Linked DNA regions of Lytechinus pictus. The protein of the gene in region 2 purifies or fractionates together with the protein of the main gene of each other region. This does not show direct contact. Links are inferred from orthologs where the notes say so. Each region holds a gene or a part of one and is shown on either strand. Other genes may lie near its edges.

What was found.
Region 1: the proteins of major vault protein (region 2) and E3 ubiquitin-protein ligase COP1-like purify together in Homo sapiens (affinity purification with mass spectrometry; 3 studies listed by BioGRID and IntAct, with this or other methods). This does not show direct contact. The link is inferred for Lytechinus pictus from reciprocal best matches to the Homo sapiens genes MVP and COP1.

Annotation. Positions count from the first base shown.
Region 1 is NC_087259.1:28,174,835-28,182,974, reverse strand, and holds the start of E3 ubiquitin-protein ligase COP1-like, read left to right. Parts: upstream 1-4,854; 5' UTR 4,855-4,890; coding exon 4,891-4,916; intron 4,917-5,282; coding exon 5,283-5,380; intron 5,381-6,260; coding exon 6,261-6,325; intron 6,326-7,165; coding exon 7,166-7,282; intron 7,283-7,822; coding exon 7,823-7,891; intron 7,892-8,140. UniProt on the Homo sapiens protein: E3 ubiquitin-protein ligase that mediates ubiquitination and subsequent proteasomal degradation of target proteins.
Region 2 is NC_087246.1:13,798,524-13,806,352, forward strand, and holds the start of major vault protein, read left to right. Parts: upstream 1-4,460; 5' UTR 4,461-4,585; exon of another isoform or gene 4,586-4,776; intron 4,777-7,829. UniProt on the Homo sapiens protein: Required for normal vault structure. Vaults are multi-subunit structures that may act as scaffolds for proteins involved in signal transduction. Vaults may also play a role in nucleo-cytoplasmic transport.

The DNA of each region.
Region 1 (8,140 bases), on a different chromosome or scaffold from region 2:
CAATTACCTAATTGTGAAAACAAATCCTCTTCTTTTTAACCTTCTTTCAAGCCTAAAATTCAATTTTTCTTTAAAATTTTGAAAAATGTAGTCCTACCAAAAACCATCATTCTTACAAGTTTCAAAAATCACGTTTCTTGGAGAAAATCCATGCAGCGTGTTTCCTTCCCCTTAAAAATCCCACACTTAGTCTTAGGCAACTTTTAAGAAGTCACCATGTAATCAAAATAATGTTTGCCTCACTGTAATGGAAACCTTACGATAAATAGACATAAGGAGAAAATTTTGTCCATTGACATCGTATGCCATTATGTTACCTGGTTATTGTTCATTCGTTCACTGTTTGAGGTTCATGGGTGGAATCCCGAACCAACTGGAGAGTTGCAGCTCTGTAATTACCGATAGCTTGAAGTAGAAGTTCGCCTTGGTGAGAAACACGCGGTGAAACTGTTCAGTATAGGACTTACCTTTAATTTTCAAATGGAATCTCAAAAAAAAAAAAAAATGCATACATGCCCCCTCCCCACTGCCATGTCATCACCATCGCCATAATCATCATTGACATATAACTATTGTAATCATCAAACTTTTAGGATTATTATCATAATTATTCTCGGCACCTTCATCACTATATCATTATCACCGTCAACATCATAAAACATTAATTAATCATCACCGAGGGGGCCGAAGCAGGGGATATATCCTATGTTCATAGGGTGCATCAATATTTGTCCCCCATCGCAAAATATTATCTTCTGATCCGCCGCCCATGATCATCACTATTATTGCTATTCTCGGGATTATTTCATAATTCTAATGATCAATTATTAAGATCATTATTACCATCATCATAATCTCAACATTATAATTATCATCATCACCATTCTTGTCATTGCCATCATCGTTAGGATTACAATCACAATCATCACCATCATGATCACCGTCATTACCTTTCTTTTCGATATCATCATCACGATCATAATACCCATCACTGTCATCACGATCATAATAACCATCACTGTCATCACGTAAGTTACTCAGAAAACTGATTTAAAGACTGCCTAATTCGACGAATTATTCACTCAATTATTGTTTCAAACGTAAACTTAAGTTAATGCTGCATCGTACTGATGAGCTGCAAATAATAATAATTGTAATTGTGTTTTTCTATTCTTTCTTTCAGTATACTCTCTATTAATGAATGAACACAAAATTATCATAACGGGGATCATAGTAGGTGGAGAAATAGGAAGAAAAGAGAGAATTATAGGGAGGTAAATTATGTGATATTCCCTCAAAACAATTATCATGCTTGAAACAAAATCACTAAATCTATTTTTTAACACTTAAGAGGTCCATATTTTGGTAATTCTTAGCTTACATTCGTGTAATTGCACGCAAGTTAAATCAATCCATTATAGGGCTCGGGTCTCATTAGAAAAAAAAAACCCGGTATAGTGGTAGAATTAATGATAACATCGATGATTATGATAATAATGATAATAGAAATAATAGTAGTAGTAGTAATAATAATGATGCAAAAAGCTATGTGACTCTAAATACGGGCCTTGAGATTTGGCTCAGCCAGCAAAGAGTCAACATCAGGCAGATACTCGGACCCTAGCTAGAGCTGGAGAAGGAAGAAACAAAATGGATAATTATTGGTTGGGTCTGAGCATGTAATAGGTCCATGGTCTGAGGGACGATTGTGAGTAATCTATTTCAACGTTAACAATTTAAGTACTTTGCTTGGGACAGCTGCGCTGGCATACAAACTCGTAGTCAGCGTCTATCAACCCATTTCATTTCGCAGGCGCGCGCGTACGGCGGAGAACTGAGGCCAGGAACGTGAACCAAGATTGTTTGCTGGCCTGGCCAGGCATGTGATGCGCGGCCGAGTAGATTCTAGATTCTTATTCTAAAGCAGAGCGATTCCACTGATCGCTACATGTGAGTTGTTTTCCAAGCCAATCAGTTATCGAAAATGTAATTCAAAGAAATAATCTATGCCCATAATCTTTGCGAATGATATAGAAAAGGTTCGCTGATTGGAGTCCTATCGCGATAATTATCGCAGCTCGAGACAGTAGTTCGCGGCCGTGGCCGTGCGCCGAATCACCGGCAAGAACACGGCGATATCTGCCTCAGACTGGCCTGACGTTCACGCGCGTGAATATTGCGATAGTCAGACCCACATTGGTTAGCGCGTTTCACGTGCGTTATCTGTCAACTTTATTTCGAGCGATACTGTATCTGTATATGCATGTACTCTACTCTATTCGCTTCTTCTTTCTCTCTCTTTCTGTCACCTTATCTTTCCATGGGGCATGGTGGAGGTACGTTCAATAAATCACGGGGGGGGGCCTTTTTTTTTCATACCCATATTGAAATGTATTTGACCACACTGGTCCACCCACTGTGACAAGAGGTGACGAGAGTGAACCCTGGGAAGATTGCTTTTTGTGCCAAAAAATCCTTCCTCGTTCCCAGGCCCAATAGGCATGCGGCTAATACACATCCAGATATACAGTACTGCAATATCTATCAGATTGATTTCCACATTATCAAGTGATACCTTAGTTTGTGCAATTCTACATGTACATGATAAACCCTCAAATTGGCAACATCTGCTATTTACCAGCCCATTTTATTTGTATAAATTGGTAAGATAATTAAGTTTTAAAGTTTTTGAAGATGAACATCTGCACACAAAGGAGAAACTGAAAAAAAAACTCCATGGCCTGTATTCTGAAGTTGGGTTAAATTCAAACTGTGGTCTGAAGTTGTGGTTTAACTATAGAAAGTCAATTTGTTGCATCGATTCCTAACAGTAGAGGTTCAATGTTATCAGCTCAGTTGACTCTCGAATCATTCTTAAAGGACAAGTCCACCCCAACAAAAAGTTGTTTAAAGAAAAAGAGAAAAATCAGTTATGTGCACATCCTGGTCTGTATGCAAATGAGGGGACTGATGATGTCACCCGCTTACTATTTCTTTTGTATTTTATTATATGAAATATTCTAATTTTCTCCTCATGGTAATGTAAAAGAAGTTTTATTTTCCCTGAATATGTGGAATTACCATTGTTTTTAAAATTTATGGTTCAGTTAAGTTGGTCCTTATTGTCAAATTTGTAAAAATTGAAATATTTTATAATTCAAACATTAAAAAACAAAAGATATAGTGAGTGAGGGACATCAACTCTCATTTGCATGTCACTGAGTTCTGCATATAACTATTTTGTGAATAATAAGCAAAACTTTAAAATGTCATACATGTGTAACTTATTTAACATCCGATTTTGATGAAATTTTTCAACATTGTGCTTGTTAATTTTTTCTATATTGATTCAAATTAACATTTTTCGGGGGTGGACTTGACCTTTAACTGTTTGTGAAAGATATAGTCAACTCCACCATCAAAGACTTTATAAGAAAGAGCAAAGTAAACACAATAAACTTAAAATGTACACAAAATTTTGACATATTTGGCTTTCCATAATTTCAGCACAGAGTTAGACCATGGTCTAATAAAGTTAAACCAGAATACGGGTCATTTTGGTGAATAGATTTTTTCCCCTATTTGCTTCAACCATGCAGTTTAACAAGAATTTATATGTACCTATTTAAGATGAAATGAACAAAAAATGTTAACTATGTACATGTATTTATATAAAGTATTAAACCAGACAGCTAGGCTAATAATAGAAAAACTTGACAGTTTCAGTTTTGCTACATGTGTAGTATGATATGAGGCATTTGAAATAGACCATCATTTATAAAAGTGGTTAATGATTTCAATGCTTCCTTAAAAAGAGCAAGTCCACACCAACAAAAAAGTTGGTTTGAATGAAAAGAGAAAAATCAAACTAGTATCCATGTAGCACTGAAAATTTCATCAAAATCAAATGTAAAATTAAAAAGGTTATGTTATAAAGTTTTCCTTAATATCACAAAACGATGCGCACCATGGTCAATATGAGAAGACCTACTTTACCCAATCACTATTTTATATGAAATGTAAAATATAATAATGTATATAAATATAGCCGCTTCATACAGGTGTTTCAAAGCACACAGGTGGGCAGACTAATATAAACAATGAATCCATTAAAATATATATATAAATATATATATACATATCTTGATGTTTACCTCCTCATAATGCAAAACAAGTTTTATTTCCTTTCTAAAGATATGGAGTTGCCATTGTTGCGAAGTTCTAGTAGTTGCAACAATACATGTACTGTTTTGTGATTCATAAAGATATACATGTATTATCTCCAAATTTCTATGGCCATTAAAATATAAATCAGAATATTTCCAAGACACATTTACATGTAGGTCACTAGATACCTGTACATGTATGCTGTAACTTAAAAAAATAAATAAACAGTCATGTTAGAATGTTTGATGATACTTTAGTCTAATTCAAATTATCTGAATTATTTCTGTTTCTGATATATTCATTTGTAATTTGTGTCCCTGATGTGATAAATACTTTTTCACGTGCACTTTCCTGTTCATCATGTTATGCATCAAGAGTCTCACAACAGTTTTAATGTTTTTAGTGATTACATGATAATAAAATGAATTGAATTGAACATTTACCAAAGATTTAGATAGCTTTGATATCGAATGTTTTCAACCACCCCCTTCTATACTCAATTTTGTTTATCTTTTACCTATAGATGCTCATGAATTTTGTGATATCGAATTTTTAAAGTCTCTTTTGGAGACATTTGTAGACATGTTAACACTCTCATTCACATTTATTAATACCTTTTTCCTGGAAATTTACAATATCATTCTTCTGTGAGAAATTACTAATTCTAGATCATGTATTGTATCTTTCAGTCCAATCTGTTTTGAAGTTATTGAGGAGGCGCATATGACAAGATGTGGACACAGTTTCTGGTAAGATGAAATCAGTGAAGCTTTCTAATTGCATGTTAATATGTTTGTTGGCAATACAATTGAACTTCTTGTGGTACCTACCATGACTACATGATAATAACGATTACTGATATAATAACAATAGTTATAATTTAGAAAGGGCATCTTCCATTTAAGGCGCATTAGACCAAATTAAAAATAAAACATAAATTACATTTAATATTGATTTGAAACTTTAACAATGAATGAATTATATGGATGTCTGTCAAAAAACACTCTTATGCAGGTTATGTTATCAGGTAATATAACCACACACATACAGAATAAAGCACAAACATCTTACATTCTTCTGTTCTTAAAATTTTATGTTTTTTTTTTCTTTCTTAGCCGGAGATGTATATTGCGAAGCCTGGAGACAAGCAACAGATGTCCAAAGTGCAATTTTGTTATAGAGAAGACTGACCAAATATTTCCAAATTTTGCCTGTAAGTTTTGTACATTATTGCGAGGTAATGCGATATTGTACATACGAGTTGACGAGTTGATAGGAGACTAAATTAGGGAGCCAAGGTGAAAGCATTATACTGCACTATTGGTTTTGCAAATTGTCTTTATTCTGTGTTTAATGTGTTTGCAAGGAATGCAGTGTTGTATAAGTGACCGTAGAAGTTTTCTGGAGGTTGCTTGTGACTCTGTGACAACATGCAATACAGTTTCTTGGAGGCTGTGGGCAGGTGCCTTGTGTAATTAGAGTTGTTTTGTTTTGATATTAATGAAGACGGAGAATATATATTTATGACAAGATCCATAGATGGGTACTGGGCATAATGGTCCAAGTTCACAAAGACAAAAAGCAATAAAGCAACTAATTATTGGAATTATTTAATTGTGCACATTATATGTAGGAGGTGAACAAAACCACCAGTGATATAAACCTAATTTGCTTTGCTTTTTCATATAATAGCATGTACCTGTACTCATATTGCCTTGTAAATTTTTATGTCAACAGGTCTTTGAAATGCATTTTAGATGTTTTGAATTGATAATCAAAGTTTGAAAGAGTTCATATTTTACAATCTGCATGTACATGTAGCTGCATTTCAGTAAAATAATTATTCTTGTACAAAAGACTCCCAATTTCTCCAATCCTTTTGGCACTTCACGGTGATTTGATAGCTTTACAACTTTTCATATGAATTTGAGAACAGAGACAATCCTTTTAGGAAGCTCCCACATAAAGACATCAATAAATCATGGAATTGTTTTAAAGTGAATGCGATATAACACACATAGTTTTCACTTTGTTTGGTACACTGTATATTATCTTGATTTTTACCTCTCTTCTCTCTCTCTCTCTCTTTGCAGTGAATGAACTTATTCTGAAGTACAGACAAAGAGTTGAAGAGAAAAGGTTAAAACTTGGCCCTCAGGTAAGAAGCCTTAGATTCACGAAAGTTCTACGTGTAGCTTTACCACAGGTAAAAAATTGATAGTTCATTTTTAGGGACTTCTATACACAACCTACTGCCCAAATCTGTAATATTGGACAAGCTTATCCAATATTACAGATTTGTGCAGTAGGTTATGTAAACAATCTAATGTGGGTTTTCCAAAGCTCTTTTGACCATTTGGGGGCAAAATCACCCTGAGCCCCTGTGTAATTTTTTCCATTGCTTTACCAGGGAAATATATGGTTACATAAAATGCAGTCTGATTCTTCTCACTGTAAAGGTCGCTAGAACTTATATTGTTTGTAGAATAATACAAATTCTGAAACTATTGTATAGATGTGACATCACATATTGGTTTAGGGAAGAGTAATGACAGCCTTAATTCAGTTTGGTTGAATTATAAAGGAGATTCTGTTTGTAATACTACATGAAATGAGAAATATGGAACATGTGAGCAAAAGTCTTCCTCTCAACTGATCGATTGTTAAATATCATTTTGAAAAATTGAGTCAGATTTTCACTGTTTGAAAACACTTGCCATGGATATTACCATATCATGCATTTAGATTTATCAATACGCTAATTTTACTGGAAAATTGAAAAGGCCATTATATTGTTTTTAAATAGCTAAATTTTCACTCAAGAGTATTTAGAAATACTTTCCATGGAAGATTACAATATTAATATAAGGCTTTAATACAGATTAATGATTTCAAACTTTTAGTGAACTATTTCCAAATATTAGCATGCGCTATTTTCAATGTAAAAAACAACAACATTAGAACAAGGCTATTACATACATTGATTGATTTCTCTTAGACTGGTGGTCCTACACCTGATGTTCAAGAATTTATTCAAGACCAAGAGAAATGGGATCTAGCAGAAGTCAACCTCATGTTAGAAGTACTAGTCAGCAAGAAAAGGAAGCTGGAGATGGTATGAAATAAATAACTCTCATATGATTTTATAACAGGGAGATATTGCTGCATTATGTAGCAGAAGACAATGAAGTCGTAATTATGATAATAATAACTAATAAGTATATTGTAATTGATGTCTCAGAATGGGATACCAGAAATATTCCAAGAGTTAGGGCTAATATTACATGAAGTGCATTTAATTGGAATATTGGCTCTAACAGTTGAAATATTTATGGTATTCCATGACATAAAGCCATCCAATATTATCATAATTATCTATCCCACCCCCCCCCCCCAAAAAAAGGGGGAATTGTATTGAGCAAGTCGTGTCATTTACAGCCTCACTTCATGGGATCAAATTAATGCGACTTTTGTAGTTCATTATAACGTCATTAAGCATCATTGCGCTCTATGCTGCACATTGCTTTCATGAATCTTATACCTAAAATCATAGTAGATATCATTGAATTAAAATATTCAGATTCTAGTAGGACTATTCAATTAATTATTGATATAATAATATTCTTTTTTATTTTGCTTTTTGTTTCTACCATAGGACAACCAGGTAGCCCAGATCCAGATCCTGAAAGATTTTCTTGATGAAGCCAGGAGAAAAAAGCTAGAAGTAAGAAGACAATTCTGTAATAAAATCTCATTGATGTAACATTTTTAGATCTCAATATACATGTACATCTGAACAGTATTCATTCTGGTTTAAAGTATGAAGCCATTTCAACAGTATGTGTAGAATATATAGTGCACAGTGTGATGTAAAAATATTCAATAATACTATAATTTTTGGTAGTCCTCTTTTGTGTGAATCAATCCAATAGTGGACCAAAGTGATGACATAAACATTATTTTTAGCATAATG
Region 2 (7,829 bases):
ATAAAGGTTGCTAACGCAAATAAGGGCTATACCCACAACTCTTCCAGAGATAAAACTTACTTGTAGAATAATTTCAGCCCAAAACCTTCCTTATAGTGATACATTCGTGGTGTTATATATACTCTGCGTTTTACATAAGTCCACACAGCTTGATAAAGCACGGTTAATATTTTTCAGATTTTATTTTATTTTTTATAAATCTAATTAATGATCATTTTGATGCCATAAAATTATTTTCGGCATCTCATACACACTTTTTAGGCATGTGAGAAGCATAAACCACTATTCACTCTGATCAATCTTAAAGTAGCACATAACACAAAGTTTATGTACTACACATTGTTTAGCGTAATTTGTCTTTTCACAGATAGGTTTTAAGTAGCCAATCAAAATTTGGTATCAAGGTGACGTCATATCGGCTTTAAATTATGTTCAGTCGATTCTACGGCCCAAATTACCCACAAGCAACATGTTAAAGTAAAAATCTAACACGGAATATAATTTTGGCGCACTTTCAACTCATTCTGGCCCACTGTGCGACGGCTTAAGGTCCTCTCCGAAGGACCTGGTAATGAGGATTAATGCCTTACCAAAGGGCAATAGCGCACCAAGTGTGAATCGAACCCGGGTCACCGGCATACGAATCCCCCGCTCTACCGACTGAGCTATCGCGCTTTTTGCACTGTCGTTAATTTTAATATTTTTGTATAGTCCTATAATTACCAAATTGTGTAATTCATTCCTTTCCACCGCCCTTTCCAAGGGGGATCCACAATTTACAAGCTTTGCTTTTTAGTGGATCCCCCTCATTTCCATTTATGCTCTATATTATACTGTTTTTTCTGTGTTTTTTTTTTACGAAGTAAGAATGCCCTTCTGTAAAATTGTACTTGATTTGTATTACTTTATATTACTTTGTATTATGTTTTGAATGGAAATGAAATAAAAGAATTGAATTGAATGATACTTCTAAACTTTTAATTATTAGGCGAAGTACAAATTTTGATTGTTTGAATGTCAGATGATTCCAATTTAGATTTAATCAAAAGATCCATTCAGAGTCCATATTTTGGAATTAATTTTCTTTAATATAAAACACAATATAGAAGTAAACAACAACAAAACAATATGCGCAAAACAAAGAAATTCTATACTCCAAAAAATGAATAATTTCATCATAACTTGACTCTGCCCCCCCCAAAAAAAAATGATATGGGCGCATAACGTTGTAGCTCTGAATTTTCATGTGTTTATTCCCATTGTTAACAAAATTCAGATATCATAATTCACAAGGTCTCCCGGTCTTGATAAGATTGTAGAACTTGATTACGAGGAAAATAGAGCGCAAAAACGTCACGCGAACAGCACTGAAACATGCGTGATATATCAAAATTTGAAAGAAAAGAAAATCAGATGTGTAACATCTTGGGCATTGAAAATTCCAGATAAAGGGCACAAAATAAGAGAGGAGATGGACGTTGAGGGATACTGAATGAAGTTTGATATTCGAAGTCGTTTACTTTTTTAAATATTTTAATACCGTATAGTACGGAACGAATTTCATGCCCACATGGGGTGAAAAGCCAAAGTAGCCTATACAGGGGGCCGCGGGACCGGGGGGCTGGGGGCTTCAGCCCCCCCCCCCCCATTTTTTTCCAAAATCGTGCATGTACAAAAACGTAAAAATTACGATCTGATTGTGATTTTTTGCATGGTCATTCCCTCCCCCCTTTCAAAACCGTTCCGCGGCCCCTGCATGGGGAGTAGCATTTGGATATATAGAGTTACCCGCTCCCACCAGGAGACTATGCCGCCCATAGGCGGATCCATATATATATATATATATATATTTATATGTATATATATAAATAAATATATATATATATATAATGTGCGTTCACATCCACTTCACAATATTCCTACACAGTGCTTGAAAAAGAGCTAAATTAAAATTTTTCAGATCGGAATATCAAATATTTTCAGCTCGCGGTTCGTGCTCGCATTATTGATTTTATGATGATAGAAAAATGCATTCAGAATGCCCAGATTCTGAGGTCTAACTCTAAAACAAGCACACGCATGTATATTGAGATACACAGCTTGTTCTCGGATTTAAAACGTGTTTAAATTATCCAATTTCATATCAGAATATCAAAAACTTTCTGCTCGCTCTTCGCGCTCGCATTACAGTGTAGAAAAAAATAACAAATTTATCATCGTTTTTCATGATTTACAAAACATGAAGTGTCAAGATTCAGGTCTAATATCTCTTTTTTTTTCCGGTCGCGCTTTTGCGCTTGCATCAATAACCTATCACCTATCCCGTTCATGATTACAAAAATTGCTTAAAATGTCCATTTTTAGGTCGGAATTTTGTTTGGATCGCGCTTCGCATAACAGGTCCCTTTTCGATTAGGCCTGAACGCATTTTAAACATTTCTGTTGCGCGCTCGCAGTATAGTTATCTCGTTACATATACGCATTTTTTCAGGATCACAAACATTTATAATGTTAAAGGAGAATGAAACCTTTGAAACAAGATAGCTTGTGTGAAAACAGAAAAATCAAAGAAACAGATCAACGAAAGTTTGAGAAAAATCGGACAAATAATGATAAAGTTATGAGCATTTGAATATTGCGATCACTAATGCTATGGAGATCCTCACATTGGCAATGGGACAAAGATGTGTGATGTCACTTGTGAACAACTCTCCCCAGTACTTTACTATATATTTCACTTAAACTGCCTCTTTTATCACATCTATCAGTAGATCATGTGTTCTTTCTATAGGAGGGCATGTAATACAGATTTTTAAAGAATACATCATGGATAAAGAGATTGTGTCACCTTAAGAAAAAGCAAATAGAGACATTTGGGGGGTATTTTAGAGTCCATCAAAGGGAAAGTTGTTCACATGTGACATCACCACTGAACTAGAAATATCTCTAGTTCAGTGGACATCACACATCCTTGTCACATTGCCAATGGGAGGATCTACATAGCATTAATGATTGCAATATTCAAATGCTCATAACTTTCTCATTATTTGTCCGATTTTTCTCAAACTTTCTTTGTTCTTATTCTTTGATTATTGTGTTTCGACACAAGCCTATTTGTACCAAAGGTTTCATTCCCCTTTAAATTTTCAGACAAAACACATGACATTTCCAAAAAAAAAACATTTAGCTAACGCTTCGCGCTCGCACTATATAAAAAACAAGGTTTTTGAGATTATAACACATTTATGTTGTTTTATAAGAATAAAGCTAAGAAGTGACTGTTAGGACTACCCCTTCAAAGAAACAAATAAACATCAATTTTGAGCGGCCCATCGGGGATCCACTGATTCCATATTTCATATCCATATTTCATTTTATTGTTCGAAATAGACATGAAATGAAATATTCCGAAAATTTGCTGTGCCCAATTGATCTTGGGCCCGGTATAGCCGCTGTGCAGCGCCAGATCGACGATGCTCTATGCCTTTATTCGTTGAACGCCAATCAGGGGAGCAATTCCCAACTTTTTAAACTTCTTTTGGTCTGACGTGGCCGGGGTTTGAACTCCCGACCTCCCGGTTGTGAGACGGACGCTCTAACCTACTGAGCGTGGAAAAATCGGGCCCCCTGTTGGCGGATGCCTGACCCACCCCTGATGCCACCCATTTCATTAAGAGTTACAAATATATTACCATGGTAACAGGGATCAGCAGCCAAACAAAAGCAAGGGTATAAGTTGTAGGTCTTCATCGGGGTCTTATAGTGCGGGAATTTGTGTCACTAATAGGAAAGGGGGAAAATTATGACTTTTCATACTCTACTAAAAGGTCCACACCCGAAAGTATATTTTATTACTTGCTGGCAAGATATAACTATAACCGAGGCTCGGTTGAGAAAGGATCATGATAAAGGGGAGTATCGTCATTAATAAGTGCGGAACTTCAAAATTGATTTCATACTAATTTAGAATTAGAGAGAAGGGGGAGAGGGGGCTCTCGTTTATGTTTATAATATATATTTTATTTATTTATTCACTTATTTGAAGGAGAAAAAAATACTCACAATCCTAATGGCTCTATCCTCGTTTGTTCCCCTTTCTGTGGGTGTTTTTCGTTTTTGGGCGATCATCATCACCCGGGATCACTCCTGCCTTTCCCCGGCTTTGCGCCTGACTTTTCAGAGGGCCTAGAATAGCTCTAAGCTATTAGTTTTCCACCACGTTTGTCGAACTTACGAAAAAGGAACCAGAGTACCCCCCCCCCCCCCCCCCCCCCCCTCTTCCCTCTCGTTTACAGCAATCGACCGATGTCAATAAACTACGTCACACTCATTTTGTTATGCAAATTTCCCTTTAATTCACACAGGGCCAGGGGTTGGGAACCAATGCAAGCCCATTGATTGGTCGACGGTTGCACCATCGCTTGGAAAGCCAATTATGTCATGATCTATTTTGGGTTGCCATTGAGACGCGTGTGAATCCGGAAGCATTCACCGCCGTATTTTATTTTTTGCATGCATATTGCATACAGCACTTGCAATAGTCATCCATCGGGAGGGAACAGAGCCGAGTCGAGAGCCGAGCAAGGTGAGTATATAAGAACAAGTAAATTGGTATTCAATCTTACTAGATCCAAAGATTGAGAATGGCTCATCTTTAGAAATATTCACAGACTATTTTAGTACTTCACAGTGGCAGTAGTAGTGGTGAAATGGAGTGATGCTGCCCATTTTTGTCAGACTGAGCTGAGACTCGACTGAGGGAGAGGTGAGTTGATTGTGAGTGGACTGCACTGCTGGTGGTGCCCAGTAAAAGGGGGTGCTGGTCACTCCTAGTTAGCTAGTACCAATGAGGTCCAAACATTACATGTATGGACCTCATAGGCGACATCAGTAGTATTTTTGGTTAGAAATCTCTGAGAACAGGATATTTCTATATTATATCACAAGTACAAGCTATATTCCTTTCTCTTATTTAAATTATAATTTTATAGTGTGAATGCATCGTTAGCAACAACAAAAAAATGAAAGAAATGAAGGGGAACTTACATTTTCACGGCTTTTTCCTGATTTTCTGGGCAGTTGCTCTTCACTTCTGACTCGCGATCGAAGCTGATATGAAGATCACGTGATTCGCGTTCTCGTCAGCTGATCGGTTGATTATTCTTTTTGTCAGACGTTAATAATATATATTTTATAATGCTAGCATTCATCGCTAATTTAGGTGAAAGAGATTGAAGTTAAACAGCGCCAGGTCGGAATCATAATTATTTTGGAAGAGTCTATTTATACACTCGATCTCATACCTGACGTAGACGGCGCTATTCAACAAATGCACAATCTTCAATATAAAAAATAAAACAGAAAGAACGCCTTGAACACAGGCCAAAATGCCTAACGATTTATCCGCGGCATTAACAACTATCGTAAAGGGCGCTCCATTTATTAATAAAGATGGACGTATAGCTGTCTATGGCGACAAAATTTGCCGCAAATATTTACGAAGAATTGTGAGAAATGGTCTGAAAATGCAACAAAAGAACCGGTGAGTACCGATTTAATATTATCAATTTATTCAATAGAACATATTTCATGACTATAGTTTAACAATTTCTAGATAATATTGCTTAGTTCTAAGCTAGGGCGGCCCAAATGCGCGTGAGTGGAGTCCCAGTTTATTAACACGGGTAAGTATTGGGGTGTCGCCTAGAGTGGTGCTGGTGGTGCCCAGTAAGTCACTGTTTTTCCCCCTTTTAAGTTTATTTTTCCCGTTTTGGTGCATTTCAGGCCAGAATAGAATAATAATCTTTATTTTGGACAAGTTCTTTTTACATATTGTTATGAAATAAAGACAAAAATCGATGAGCCCCGACGGGGGGATTTTGCATTGTTAACCCCCTAATGGTGGCTGCCCGATAGCAAGCCGTCTGTGTATGAGGAGAAAAAAAAAAAAATGTTAGTATACTAATACTAACCTCGCAATACGTGTGAGTGGTGGTGATGGATGGTGTTTTGACTTGGAGTTGAGCAGAGCTTAGAGATCTGATGACAGGGGCCGCGGAACGGTTTTCAAAGGTGGGGGGGGGGCTGACCATGTACAAAATCACAATCGTATGGTCATTTTTGTGTTTTTGTACACGGTTTTGGAAAAAAGTGGGGGGGCTGAAGCCCCCCAGCCCCCCCCGCTTCCGCGGCCCCTGGATGATGATGATTTTCATTTGGATGGGAGGGGGTGGGGGAGGCATGTTTCAGCTAAAATTCTTTGCAGACCCAATACAATCTATTCAAGTTTTATGATCTGTTGTCATTGATAGAAAAAAGCTTCAGTCTCTGTACATAGTTCTTTTTTTTAGTTGGTCCGGTAATTTAATAAGCCTAAACTATGTTATACATCCTAGACCAAAAGCTTCGGTCTCTGTTATGTTGGTTGTTCCGCTGAACTCCGCAAGCTCCACTCACCAAATACAGAGACCGAAGTTCTAACTCGATCTGTACAGGGATTTAATGGCCATATGTTTCTGTATTAAGTTCGGATAAACCAGGAAGTGGGAGTTGCGCGACAGCCAAAGTAAGCCACTGTTTTTCCCCCTTTTAAGTTTATTTTTCCTGTTTTGGTGCATTTCAGGCCAGAATAGAATAATAATCTTTATTTTGGACAAGTTCTTTTTATATATTGTTATGAAATAAAGACAAAAATCGATGAGCCCCGACGGGGGGATTTTGCATTGTTGACCCCCTAATGGTGGCTGCCCGATAGCAAGCCGTCTGTGTATGAGGAGAAAAAAAAAATGTTTTAAAAAATCCTAAAAACGGACGGCTGCCAGCTGTCTATGTTCATCCATGACATCGGGGTCTGGGGATGTTAGGTCAAAGGAAAATGCATTCAATGAACAAGATTATGATTATTGATATAACCTTGTTCTCTTTTAGTACTCCATGTGTGGCAAAATAAGGTTGGCAATGTTTGGCTTATTTTTCTCTTTTTCATTGGAACAAATCATGCTTGATTGTTTGACTTTGACACTGAGATTCCATTACAGCTAATCATCATATAACTTGGCCCGTAAGTAAATTTGATTCTTTTAATTATTTTTTCTAAATTAAAAATAGACATTGAAAAATGAAAATTTCCATGCCATTATTACTTTACTCCAATAGAGGGTGTACACAGAAATATGCCCCAAATTCAAGTTTTTGAACGCTCTGGTGAATACAAAAATTATTCCCATGTTACTAAAGAAAAATAAATTGCAACTGTATGGAAATTAGTATTTTTGGTCACAAACATGTTATTTTAATGATTTTTTAAAGTGTGTGTTGCATACTGCAAAGTGGGAGAATGCCAGAAAAAAATGCGGTTATGAATTCCCGTCTAACGTTAATTAAGCTTTGGTCATGTTGGTATTTGATAAACTATTTCAGTTTAAAACAATGGGCATAACAATGGTAGGCTAGGCACTGGCACTACTTGTAGATTTATGCTGCAGACACGTGCCCAAACAGTCAATACATGAGCTGGCCCCAACTGTTCTTATATTTTGAGTGAACCATGTAGTGCGCAGAATTTGTTTTTCTTCAGTCTTAAAATGACTGCCCGAGCTTTTTTCCAAGAAAATCACTTATTTCTTTCAAATTTTATGATAAGGAAAGTGAATAAGACTGAAAAATATAGAAAATATGAGTAAAAAGAGAAAACTCATGAGCTAATCAGAGCGTGGGGTCCTATTTCAAGTGATTGAAATTAAAAGATTTGAATTAAATTTTGTTGATTTTCATTTTCCTTCCACTGTTATCCTAAATCGAGCTTATTTTCTTCGTTTGTAATTCTTAGT